3 linked regions of the Macaca mulatta genome follow. The protein of the gene in region 1 interacts with the protein of each later gene in a biochemical or structural test. Links are inferred from orthologs where the notes say so. Each region holds a gene or a part of one and is shown in the gene's direction. Other genes may lie near its edges. The genes, in order: EP300, TAL1 and H1-1.

The links.
Region 2: the proteins of EP300 (region 1) and TAL1 form a complex in vitro, tested with the Homo sapiens proteins (3 studies listed by BioGRID, with this or other methods). The link is inferred for Macaca mulatta from reciprocal best matches to the Homo sapiens genes EP300 and TAL1.
Region 3: of the proteins of EP300 (region 1) and H1-1, one has a biochemical effect on the other in vitro, tested with the Homo sapiens proteins (2 studies listed by BioGRID). The link is inferred for Macaca mulatta from reciprocal best matches to the Homo sapiens genes EP300 and H1-1.

Annotation. Positions count from the first base shown.
Region 1 is NC_133415.1:10,366,218-10,369,869, reverse strand, and holds part of EP300 (histone acetyltransferase p300), read left to right. Parts: intron 1-870; coding exon 871-980; intron 981-1,981; coding exon 1,982-2,119; intron 2,120-2,697; coding exon 2,698-3,135; intron 3,136-3,652. UniProt on the Homo sapiens protein: Functions as a histone acetyltransferase and regulates transcription via chromatin remodeling. Acetylates all four core histones in nucleosomes. Histone acetylation gives an epigenetic tag for transcriptional activation.
Region 2 is NC_133406.1:193,467,388-193,471,039, forward strand, and holds part of TAL1 (T-cell acute lymphocytic leukemia protein 1), read left to right. Parts: intron 1-122; 5' UTR 123-123; coding exon 124-569; intron 570-1,943; coding exon 1,944-2,038; intron 2,039-3,652. UniProt on the Homo sapiens protein: Implicated in the genesis of hemopoietic malignancies. It may play an important role in hemopoietic differentiation. Serves as a positive regulator of erythroid differentiation.
Region 3 is NC_133409.1:157,091,489-157,094,157, forward strand, and holds H1-1 (histone H1.1), read left to right. Parts: upstream 1-1,445; coding exon 1,446-2,093; downstream 2,094-2,669. UniProt on the Homo sapiens protein: Histone H1 protein binds to linker DNA between nucleosomes forming the macromolecular structure known as the chromatin fiber. Histones H1 are necessary for the condensation of nucleosome chains into higher-order structured fibers.

The DNA of each region.
Region 1 (3,652 bases):
AAGAGCAGGTTGGTTGGCAGATCACAGGGCAGGTGACATTAAATGATCAAACATCCATTTAAAAACAACTGCAGGCTGGGCGCATTGGCTCACGCTTGTAATCCCAGCACCTTGGGAGGCTGAGGCTGGTGTACCACCTGAGGTCAAGTATGAGACCATCCTGGCCAATGTGTCGAAACCCTGCCTTCTAGTAAAAATACAAAAATTAGCCAAGTGTGGTGGCACAGGCCTGTAATCCCATCTACTCGGGAGGCTGAGGCTGGAGAATCACTTAAACCCAGAAGGTGGAGTTTGCAGTGAAGCGAGATCTTGCTGCTGCACCCCAGCCTGGGTGACAGCGAGACTCCGTCTCAAAAAAAAAAAAAAAGCAGATTGTAAAATTTGTAAAATTCGGTTTGAAGATCCTGTTAATAATGTCTGTTTACAACTGCTGTGAGACATATTTATTTATACTTACAAGGTTGAAAGCCAGTTTATTAGTCCTGATAAAATACAGAATCAGGGCCGGGCACGGTGGCTCACACCTGTATCCCAGCACTTTGGGAGGCCTAAGCGGGCGGATCACGAGGTCAGGAGATCGAGACCATCCTGGCTAACACGATGAAACCCTGTCTCTACTAAAAATATAAAAAATTAGCCAGGCGTGGTGGTGGGCTCTTGTAGTCCCAGCTACTCGGGAGGCTGAGGCAGAAGAATGGCGTGAACCCGGGAGGCGTTCAGTGAGCCGAGATGACACCACTGCACTCCAGCCTGGGCAACAGAGCAAGACTCTGTTTCAAAAAAAGATGTAGAATCAGACATAAGAATTCTGTCTTTTATTCTTCAGTTTCAGAAAGGCGTTCAGATCTAATATTTTGCACATATTCACAGGTTTGAATCAATTTGGCCAGATGAGCATGGCCCAGCCCCCTATCGTACCCCGGCAAACCGCTCCTCTTCAACACCATGGACAGTTGGCTCAGCCTGGAGCGCTCAACCTGGTTAGTTTGACGTCTTTAGTAATCATTTTGGCCTTTATCTGGTATTTTGAAAATCCTGTTTGTTCCTAATTTATAAATGCTCACAGTTATTTAAACAGACCATAACTCCTAGTTCTTCTGTAATTCTTCTGTATTTAATTCTACTAGAAAGCTGACCAAAAAACGAAAACAGCCAGGCCCTTGTCCCTGGAGTGTCCATGTTTAGTGGCCTGCATGCGTTTTCATGGTCACCTCTCTTCCCTGATGTCTGTCTTCCCTTCTCCAGGCAGAGAACTGTCTTTTTGCAAGGTTGATGGTGCATTTGCCTGGTTCTTGAGCTCGGAGAAGAGAGGCTAGGCTTCTGCTCCTTATGTGAACTCTTAACCACTTCATCTCTCTACCTTGACCCCGACCCTCCTGCTGCCCTTTAGAGTTAGCTGGTGCCTCTGAATCTTGGCCCCTTTGGGGCCCCTTCTTGTCTTATGAAGTTTTTTGCCTTTGGAGATTTCTTTCTTTAAGGCCTGAATTTGTGTAGGGTAATTTTAGAAATGAAATATAGCATTGCTAGAGCATTTGTGGACCATGAATGCTACCAGATTCTGCCACAACTTGTAAGATTTTACTTGTTTTTACATATTATGGGTCTTAGAATTTGTGTTATTACTACATCACTGACATGAGCTTATGAAATTGTGATTAACTCTCCTCACTTAACAGAGCATGCAAAGAAAGTTACCTGCTATCCTTGTGCTAGACATATTTGTGTACCAAGAGAATGTGTGTTTGTTCCATCCTCTTACTATTTCTTGAGAGTAGACCTAGGTAAACTGTGAGGCTATTTCCCTTTTTCTGCACAAGAGTCAGTTGTTCTATAACTTTCTTCCTTCTCCTCTCCAGCCCTCTTCACCTATACTCCTGTCTTTGACTTTGCTTAATAAACCTGACATTAGGACCTTTTGATGATTTTAGTTATAGTAGAATAACTGTAATGAAGCAGTTTGGTGATCTGTGTTTTTTTGCAGCCTATGGGCTATGGGCCTCGTATGCAACAGCCTTCCAACCAGAGCCAGTTCCTTCCTCAGACTCAGTTCCCATCACAGGGAATGAATGTAACAAATATGCCTTTGGCTCCGTCCAGTGGTCAAGCTCCAGTGTCTCAAGTATGTCTCATAAGTGGATTTTTTACTTTTTTTTGATTCTTGAAATTTCTCTTGACGTAGGTTTTTATAGGAAAGAGTGGCAGCAGATAGTGGGTGAAAACAGATGATTTTTTTAAAAAATAACAGTTTTAGACTTAGGGTGTTCTGAACCTTAAGAGATTATTCTGTGACATAGCAATGGTGTTAATTGTTACAAATTAGGAAATAATATAAATGGATGGTTTTGTTTTTAGTAGTGAACACTTTTAAATAAATCTTAGAATTAAACACAATGTAGAAGGAATTCTGGCTGAAGAGAGCATAGGCAGGCCCTAGAGCACTGTGCTCTCAATTCTGTCGTTTTTCTGCAGTGGCTGAGGCCATTCGGCTGAGTGGTTTGAAGTCGGTTTACTTAAATACTGTATCAATGGTGCTGTCCAAAGCTATATCCCCAGTAACAGGGTATTTTACACATTTTGAAATAGACACATTGCTACTCTTTGTTTAACCAGTTTGTGTCCTAAATTCATATAACGTGCCATGTAAGTATTTCTTTAATTCTGTTTTGAATTGCTATCTTATGTTTTTTATTTTAACAGGCACAAATGTCTAGTTCTTCCTGCCCGGTGAACTCTCCTATAATGCCTCCGGGGTCTCAGGGGAGCCACATTCACTGTCCCCAGCTTCCTCAACCAGCTTTGCATCAGAATTCACCCTCGCCTGTACCTAGTCGTACCCCGACCCCTCACCATACTCCCCCAAGCATAGGGGCTCAGCAGCCACCAGCAACAACAATTCCAGCCCCTGTTCCTACACCTCCTGCCATGCCACCTGGACCACAGTCCCAGGCTCTACATCCCCCTCCAAGGCAGACACCTACACCACCAACAACACAACTTCCCCAACAAGTACAGCCTTCACTTCCTGCTGCACCTTCTGCTGACCAGCCCCAGCAGCAGCCTCGCTCACAGCAGAGCACAGCAGCGTCTGTTCCTACCCCAACAGCACCGCTGCTTGCTCCACAGCCTGCAACTCCAGTAAGTAGAGATTTGATTTAGGCAGAATCATTAGAGCTGTACTGTAGTATTATATTATTTCTGGGTCATTTCTATTACTCTCTTTTGCTTTATCTCTTACTGTTTTCTCCACAAGTAGAGTGTAATCTGTTTTTCATTAGGGACTTTCTTATCCTGTTTTGCATTCCTGTGATAGGACCTAACGTAGCAGGAGTGTAAAGATTTTATTTAGCTCTGACTTTGACCATTATGTTTCATGTTGTATCCTGAGGTCTGAAGGTACGTAGAGGGGTATGACAAGGGGACACAGTCCTTCTCTTTATTTAGTATATTATTTAGTGTAACACATAAATTTTACATATATTTAAAGAATCTTTTTCAAACAGTTTGAGCTTTAAAACTTAGAGATTAAATTGAAAAATTGCAGATTTGGGCAGGCGCGGTGGCTTATACCTTTCATCCCAGCACTTTGGGAGGCCTTGGCGGGCAGATCACTTGGGGTCAGGAGTTTGAGACCAGCCTGGCCAACGTGGTGGTC
Region 2 (3,652 bases), on another chromosome or scaffold:
CCTCTTCTGTCTCTGTGTGTGAGTTCCTCTCTCTGCCCTTCACCCCTTTACCCCAGCCCACGTCGGTGGGTCAGGGGCGGTCGTCAGAGCGGGCATCCGCTTGTCTGTCTGTCTGCCCGCAGGATGACCGAGCGGCCGCCGACCGAGGCGGCTCACAGTGACCCCCAGCTAGAGGGACGGGACGCGGCCGAGGCCCGCATGGCCCCCCCGCACCTGGTCCTGCTGAACGGCGTCGCCAAGGAGACGAGCCGCGCGGCCCCCGCGGAGCCCCCAGTCATCGAGCTGGGCGCGCGCGGAGGCCCGGGGGGCGGCCCTGCCAGTGGGGGCGGTGCCGCGAGAGACTTAAAGGGCCGCGACGCGCCGGCGGCCGAAGCGCGCCATCGGGTCCCCACCACCGAGCTGTGCAGACCTCCCGGGCCCGCCCCAGCCCCCGCGCCCGCCTCGGCCCCAGCGGAGCTGCCCGGCGACGGCCGCATGGTGCAGCTGAGTCCTCCCGCGCTGGCTGCCCCCGCCGCCCCCGGCCGCGCGCTGCTCTACAGTCTCAGCCAGCCGCTGGCCTCGCTTGGCAGGTCAGGGACCAGGGACCAGGGACCAGGGACCAGGGGCCAGGGGCTGGGCGGGAGGGGCGGGTGGGCAGGGCGACCACCCCCACCGGGGTTTCCCTTCTGCACAGCGGAGGCGGCCTGCCCTCCTGCCCCGGGGGCCGAGCGGGTGGAGCGCAGGCAGAGGAGGTCATTTTAAACCCAAGGGCTCTAGAGTCTTAAGCTGGAGCCCCCCGTGAGTGCCAGTGAGGGAGGGGCCTTCTGTGAGAGAGAGTGTGCGTGTGGTTGCCGGGTGCATGGCTGTGTGGAAGCCGACAGGAGGGCGTGGACACCTTCGGGGGTGCAAGCGTGTGGCTGGTGTGCTGGGTGGTGGTGTTGTGGGGGACGGAGAGGAGGGAGTCCCCTGAGCGTGGGTAGCAGGAAAGAATGTGCCTGCATGTGCTTTGCTGTGAGCAGAGGTAGATGTTTGTGGCTGAGGGTGTGAAATTCATTCGGAAGCGCAGCGCTAGCTGGACAGGCAAGAGATAAGGATATGAGGATGGTGGCAGAGGCACCCTCCCCCGAATCTCTGCTGGAGGGCCCGCCTGAGGTCTGATCTGCCCCTCCACTCCCAGCCCCTCTGCTGCTAGCTGTGGTCTCTGGCCCCAGCCTGTACTCCAGTTGCTGTAAGGGCATCCGTTTCCCCGCTGGGGCCACTGTGATGATGACGGAGAGAAGCGGTAGGGTTGGAATAGAATCCGGAAGATGGGGCTAGGATAGAGTGTGGGACAGTCAGTGAGTCTGGCGGGCACCCAAGAGACAGAGCTACGGAGAGCTTAGAGTGGGTGAGGGCAGAGAGCTAGGGGGAGAATTTCAGCGAAGGGGAGTCAGGGTTTCCTGTCTGTTGTGTATCCACAGCCCCTTATGGGTGGGGTGAGGTGGAGGGGGGGAGAGGACAGTGTGCCCCTTTGTGGTGACAGAGATGCACACCATCAGGTGTGAAGGTTACCTTTGCCTGAGTGGGCACGTGTTTGGGAGTGGAGGTGTGTGTGGATTGTGTGCTTGTTTCCAAGGCAGGAGAATGGAGAGTGTTTCTATCTGTGAAGTGTGTGTGTGTGTGTTTGTTCCATGTGTTATTCACCTCTGCTTCTGCATGTGTGCCTGTGTGTTTGTGTGGGGGGATGCGTGGTTAAGGTGTCTCCTCCTCCCTTTGCTTGTTTCATGACAGAGTGAGGGCATTCTGTGTGTGCGTGTGCGTGCGTGTGTGTGTATCTGTGTGCAGCATATTCACTGCTCAGGTGTGAAGGGAGCAGGGTTGCCCAGAGGTGGGGGACTCAACACATGTGGGGAGGATCCCTAAGTAGCCTCTTTCTCCCCTCCCCGCAACACGGGATCTTGTGATCTGCCTGGTCCATCTGACAGCGGGTTTTTTGGGGAGCCGGATGCCTTCCCTATGTTCACCACCAACAACCGAGTGAAGAGGAGACCTTCCCCCTATGAGATGGAGATTACTGATGGTGAGTCTGCCCCACCCCACCGCTGTATCTGCCCCTCACGCTGGTTAGAGCCCTTTGCAGGAGGGAACATCTGAGGCTACTCTGTAGGTGTCACAAAGGTGGGTGGGCCACTTTCGAAACCCAAACTGCCGAAGCCCTTCACTCTGCAGCTGAGCTGGGGCTAGGTAAAGTCCTGCGTGGGGCTAGCAGGACCACACTCACAGTCCCGTGAAGAGGAGACATGGAAGAGAGACACATAATGTGCTTAGCCCAAACCTCTGGAGTTAGTTCCAGTCCCCAATCCAGGCTCCATTCCTACACTTTGGCAAGGATCCCAAGTGAGCGCAGAAACACACAGTGTCCCCAAACCCCCCATTGTAGGCACTGACCCTCAGGGATTCCCTGCACTTCCTCCCAAGTCTTCCTTAGAGTCTGGAGTCTGCTTCCTCCCTGCAATGAAGTCATCAAGGGTTTCCTCCAAGGACCCTACACAGTAGGCTCCCCTTGTCTCCCATTAACACATTCTGGGCTAAGACCTGGAGTTCCCTTCCTGACATCATGGATTCTACCTTGCCCCCTGGATTCCCTGAGAAGGGCCTTGGCACTGCTCCTTTAAGGTACTTGAATGTTCCCTGAACTTGCAGGGATGGTTTGGACAAATGGGAGATTTGGAAGACCCTCACTGTCTTCCCAAGGTTGACCTTGTATAGTAGATTGGTCCCAGCACCAGGGGTAGGAGAGCAGGTACTTCAGAGCTGAGGGACTTTGAGCCAGACCCAGAAGCTCCCAGAACTTCAGCTTGGCTATGGCCTGGGGCTCCTGTAGGAAGGCTCCCCAAGGCCTCAGAGCCAGGCTGAGATTTATGCTGCAAACTGGTGGGAGGGATATGGGTATGGAGCTGGAGGTGGAGCCCTCTGTGGTGTTCTGGAAAGGAGAGGGGCTGGCGTCTGGACAACAGAAAAGACTTCAAAAGACCCAAGCAGCCTGGGGCACAGGTGTGCAGGGCTGAGAGGCATGGGTGCCTTGCTCTAGATTAGAGGGGAGTTCTCTAGTGTAGGAGAGGTGGGTGTACCAAACAAGAAGTAGACAGGACCAGCCCTGAAGTTCCCCAGGGATGAGGCATTTTCTACAATAGGCAGAGGAGGCAGAGCACAGGGGTGAGGGTTTGTGGGGTGTGCAGGAGTGTAAGGCAGTCATTACCCATAAGTGTTGGCAATATTTACCAAGCATCTACTCAGTGCTGGCCAGAGAGAGAGGCAGAGGACACCAGGAGAGGTAGACAGATTCAGGAAAGAGGAAGGTGGGGAGACGGGGGGGTTCTCTGGAAAAAACCACAGAGGAATAGGCAGACATGTAGGTAAAGGGTGTGTCTAGGGGACACTGAAATTAGAGACTGAACCCAAAAGAGTCCATAGAAGTAGAAATAATGCAAGATCTAGAGTTAGGACTTGATGTGGATTCCTGTTGCTGAATTGCTACCACCATGTATTGGTTACCTACTATGTGCCATGGACTATGTGTGCTTGGTTTCTGTTTATTCCTTACCACAAACTCATGAGGGCAAAATTACTGTTTTCATTTCACAGATAAGGAAATTGAGGCTGAGAGAGGTTAAGCAGCTTGATCAAGGTCACA
Region 3 (2,669 bases), on another chromosome or scaffold:
GTCAAACCAAGATGTATAGTTTCCAAATGTTATTTTCCAAGTTTTAAGAAATTACGTGAAATATTTGAATGCGTGGCTTCTCAATAAAATAGACGTAGGAAACACTGGTAAAGAAGATGGGTACAATAGTTATCTGGGACTACTACAATTATTTGGTTGACACGTTGTTTGAAGAAAAAGGGAAAAAGCTCAGGTTACTTAGCACAGTTCGGACTTATTTAAAAACTACAACAGCACGAACGGAAATAGACCGCATTCCCTCACTCTCCGCTGTGTTAGGGGGTTATCCAGAATAGGATTGTAGAAGTGGATGTCGATTTAATAGTTTTTTTTGTTCTCCCGTTAGCTGAGTCTCTGATTGGCAATGTGAGATCGTTTTAGCTTATTGATAATTTGAAATGCTCTTAACAGCCACAAACAAGCTAAAGAGAGGTTACCATAAAATCTTATCCCCAGGGTGTGCTTACACTTACCGTTTGTTTTCACACTAAGGAGACTTAACTCCCCAGCAGAATGCCTGTCGGGGAACCAGTTTCTTGGACCCAGCATTTAACGCCTTTCGCAGGTTTGTGAGGCCCATAAATCTTTGTTGAATAAAACAATGAGTTCACCATGTCATGGTGCTCTCATTGCATGTGCTGACATGGAACACAGGTTGTAAACCTTAACACCCATTTGGGGCATGTTGTATGGATGAAAAGGGCATTGGAAATTCCTGAAGTGCATCCCACATTGGACTGTGGAAGTAAGTTACAAGTGCAGAAACGTTTCCACACTTGCAGTTTGAGTATTAATTGCAGCGTTAGTGAATTCTGGTGTTGTCTACGATTCATTCTTCTTTGACGTGAAAGGTATTCGCGAGACACATCGCTCTAAAACATTGCCAGAAAATGTAATCGAGTTGATGACTACTAGCCCTAACACGGCCTAAAACCCGCACTTTCCTCTTCCTCCCCAACTATTCAAACACTGTATTTTACATTTCTTGCAAATTAAAAACTAACATATCTGGCAACGGACCTCTAAAACTTTCTAATAAAACTCCCTGGATGCTTGTGGGGCTGCATTTGCAAACCGCTCCCCATCAACCTACTCCCTAAAACAGAGCTGCTTTTTGAGAGACAAGCGGCACCCTCTGATGTTACTAGGTGGCAGTCGGCCTACAATTTCCTTCACAATGAGGCAATCGGAGCGGCTTTTTCGGTGTGTTTGCTTGCGTTGAGGGGAGCGGGACCATAGGCCCTAGAGGCCCCCAGGTGCTCTCTGAGACTGGGGGAAACCCTCTGCAGAGCGCAGGGGGCGCTAGGGTGCGAGGGGCGGGCACTGACGGGCACCAATCACTGCGCAGTCCCACCCTATAAATAGGCTGAGTCGGGGCCTTTTTTTTCTCGCATCCTGCTTGGTCAGGTTTATACCAGTTTACTTGGTGTGCTGTATTAGTCACCATGTCCGAAACGGCGCCTCCCGCTCCCGCCGCTTCTGCTGCTCCTGAGAAACCTTCAGCTAGCAGGAAGGCAAAGAAACCTGCTAAGGTTGCGGTGGCCACTAAGAAAAAGCCTGCTGGCCCTTCCGTGTCAGAGCTGATCGTGCAGGCTGCTTCCTCCTCTAAGGAGCGTGGTGGTGTGTCGTTGGCTGCTCTTAAAAAGGCGCTGGCGGCCGCAGGCTACGATGTGGAGAAGAACAACAGCCGCATTAAGCTGGGTATTAAGAGCCTGGTAAGCAAGGGAACGTTGGTGCAGACGAAGGGCACCGGCGCCTCGGGTTCCTTCAAACTCAACAAGAAGGCATCCTCCGTGGAAACCAAGCCCGGCGCTTCAAGGGTGGCTGCAAAAACCAAGGCAACGGGTGCGTCTAAAAAGCCCAAAAAGGCCACGGGGGTTAGCAAAAAGAACGTCAAGACTCCAAAAAATGCTAAAAAGTCTGCGGCAACAAGGAAATCCTCTAAGAGTCCCAAAAAACCCAAAGCTGTAAAACCCAAGAAAGTAGCTAAAAGCCCTGCTAAAACTAAGGCTATAAAACCCAAGGCGGCCAAGGCTAAGGTGACGAAGCCAAAGACTGCCAAACCCAAGAAAGCGGCACCCAAGAAAAAGTAAATTCGGTTGGAAACTTTACTAACCCAACGGCTCTTTTAAGAGCCACCTACACACTTCGGGAAAAGAGCTGTAGTACACAGATGAAATTCCCCCAAGCAAATGCAATACGCCCTCATTTATATTAGAATCACTTGGAGAGTCAATAGGAACTTTAACATAGGTTGAGTAGTAAATTCTTGCCAGATGAGGCTATCAAAGATAGCAAGGTGAATTCAAATGCACCGAGTTAAAGTCGAATTTTAGATCACCTGTTTTGCTTTTTTTTTTTTTTTTTTTTAAGTAGCCCGAAGTCCCGCATCTCACGACCCCAAGCTAATTAGTCATAACTGTAACGAACCAAGGTTGAAGCCTAGTCCCAGGCTTGAGGCTTTTTTATTATGCAAGGTTAAAGTGCGGACATTGCGTTCTTGGGTCAATATTGCTAAAGTAGCCTTTTCCGAAATTGGGTGGTCCTAAGAAATGCTTCTGGGATAGTAAGCAAAATTCATGGCTTAATCACGCCCTCTCCGCAGCAGTGGCTAGAGAGGTGTCTGTCCTTGGGAATGACGGTGACCCTTCTGGCGTGACTGGCGCCCA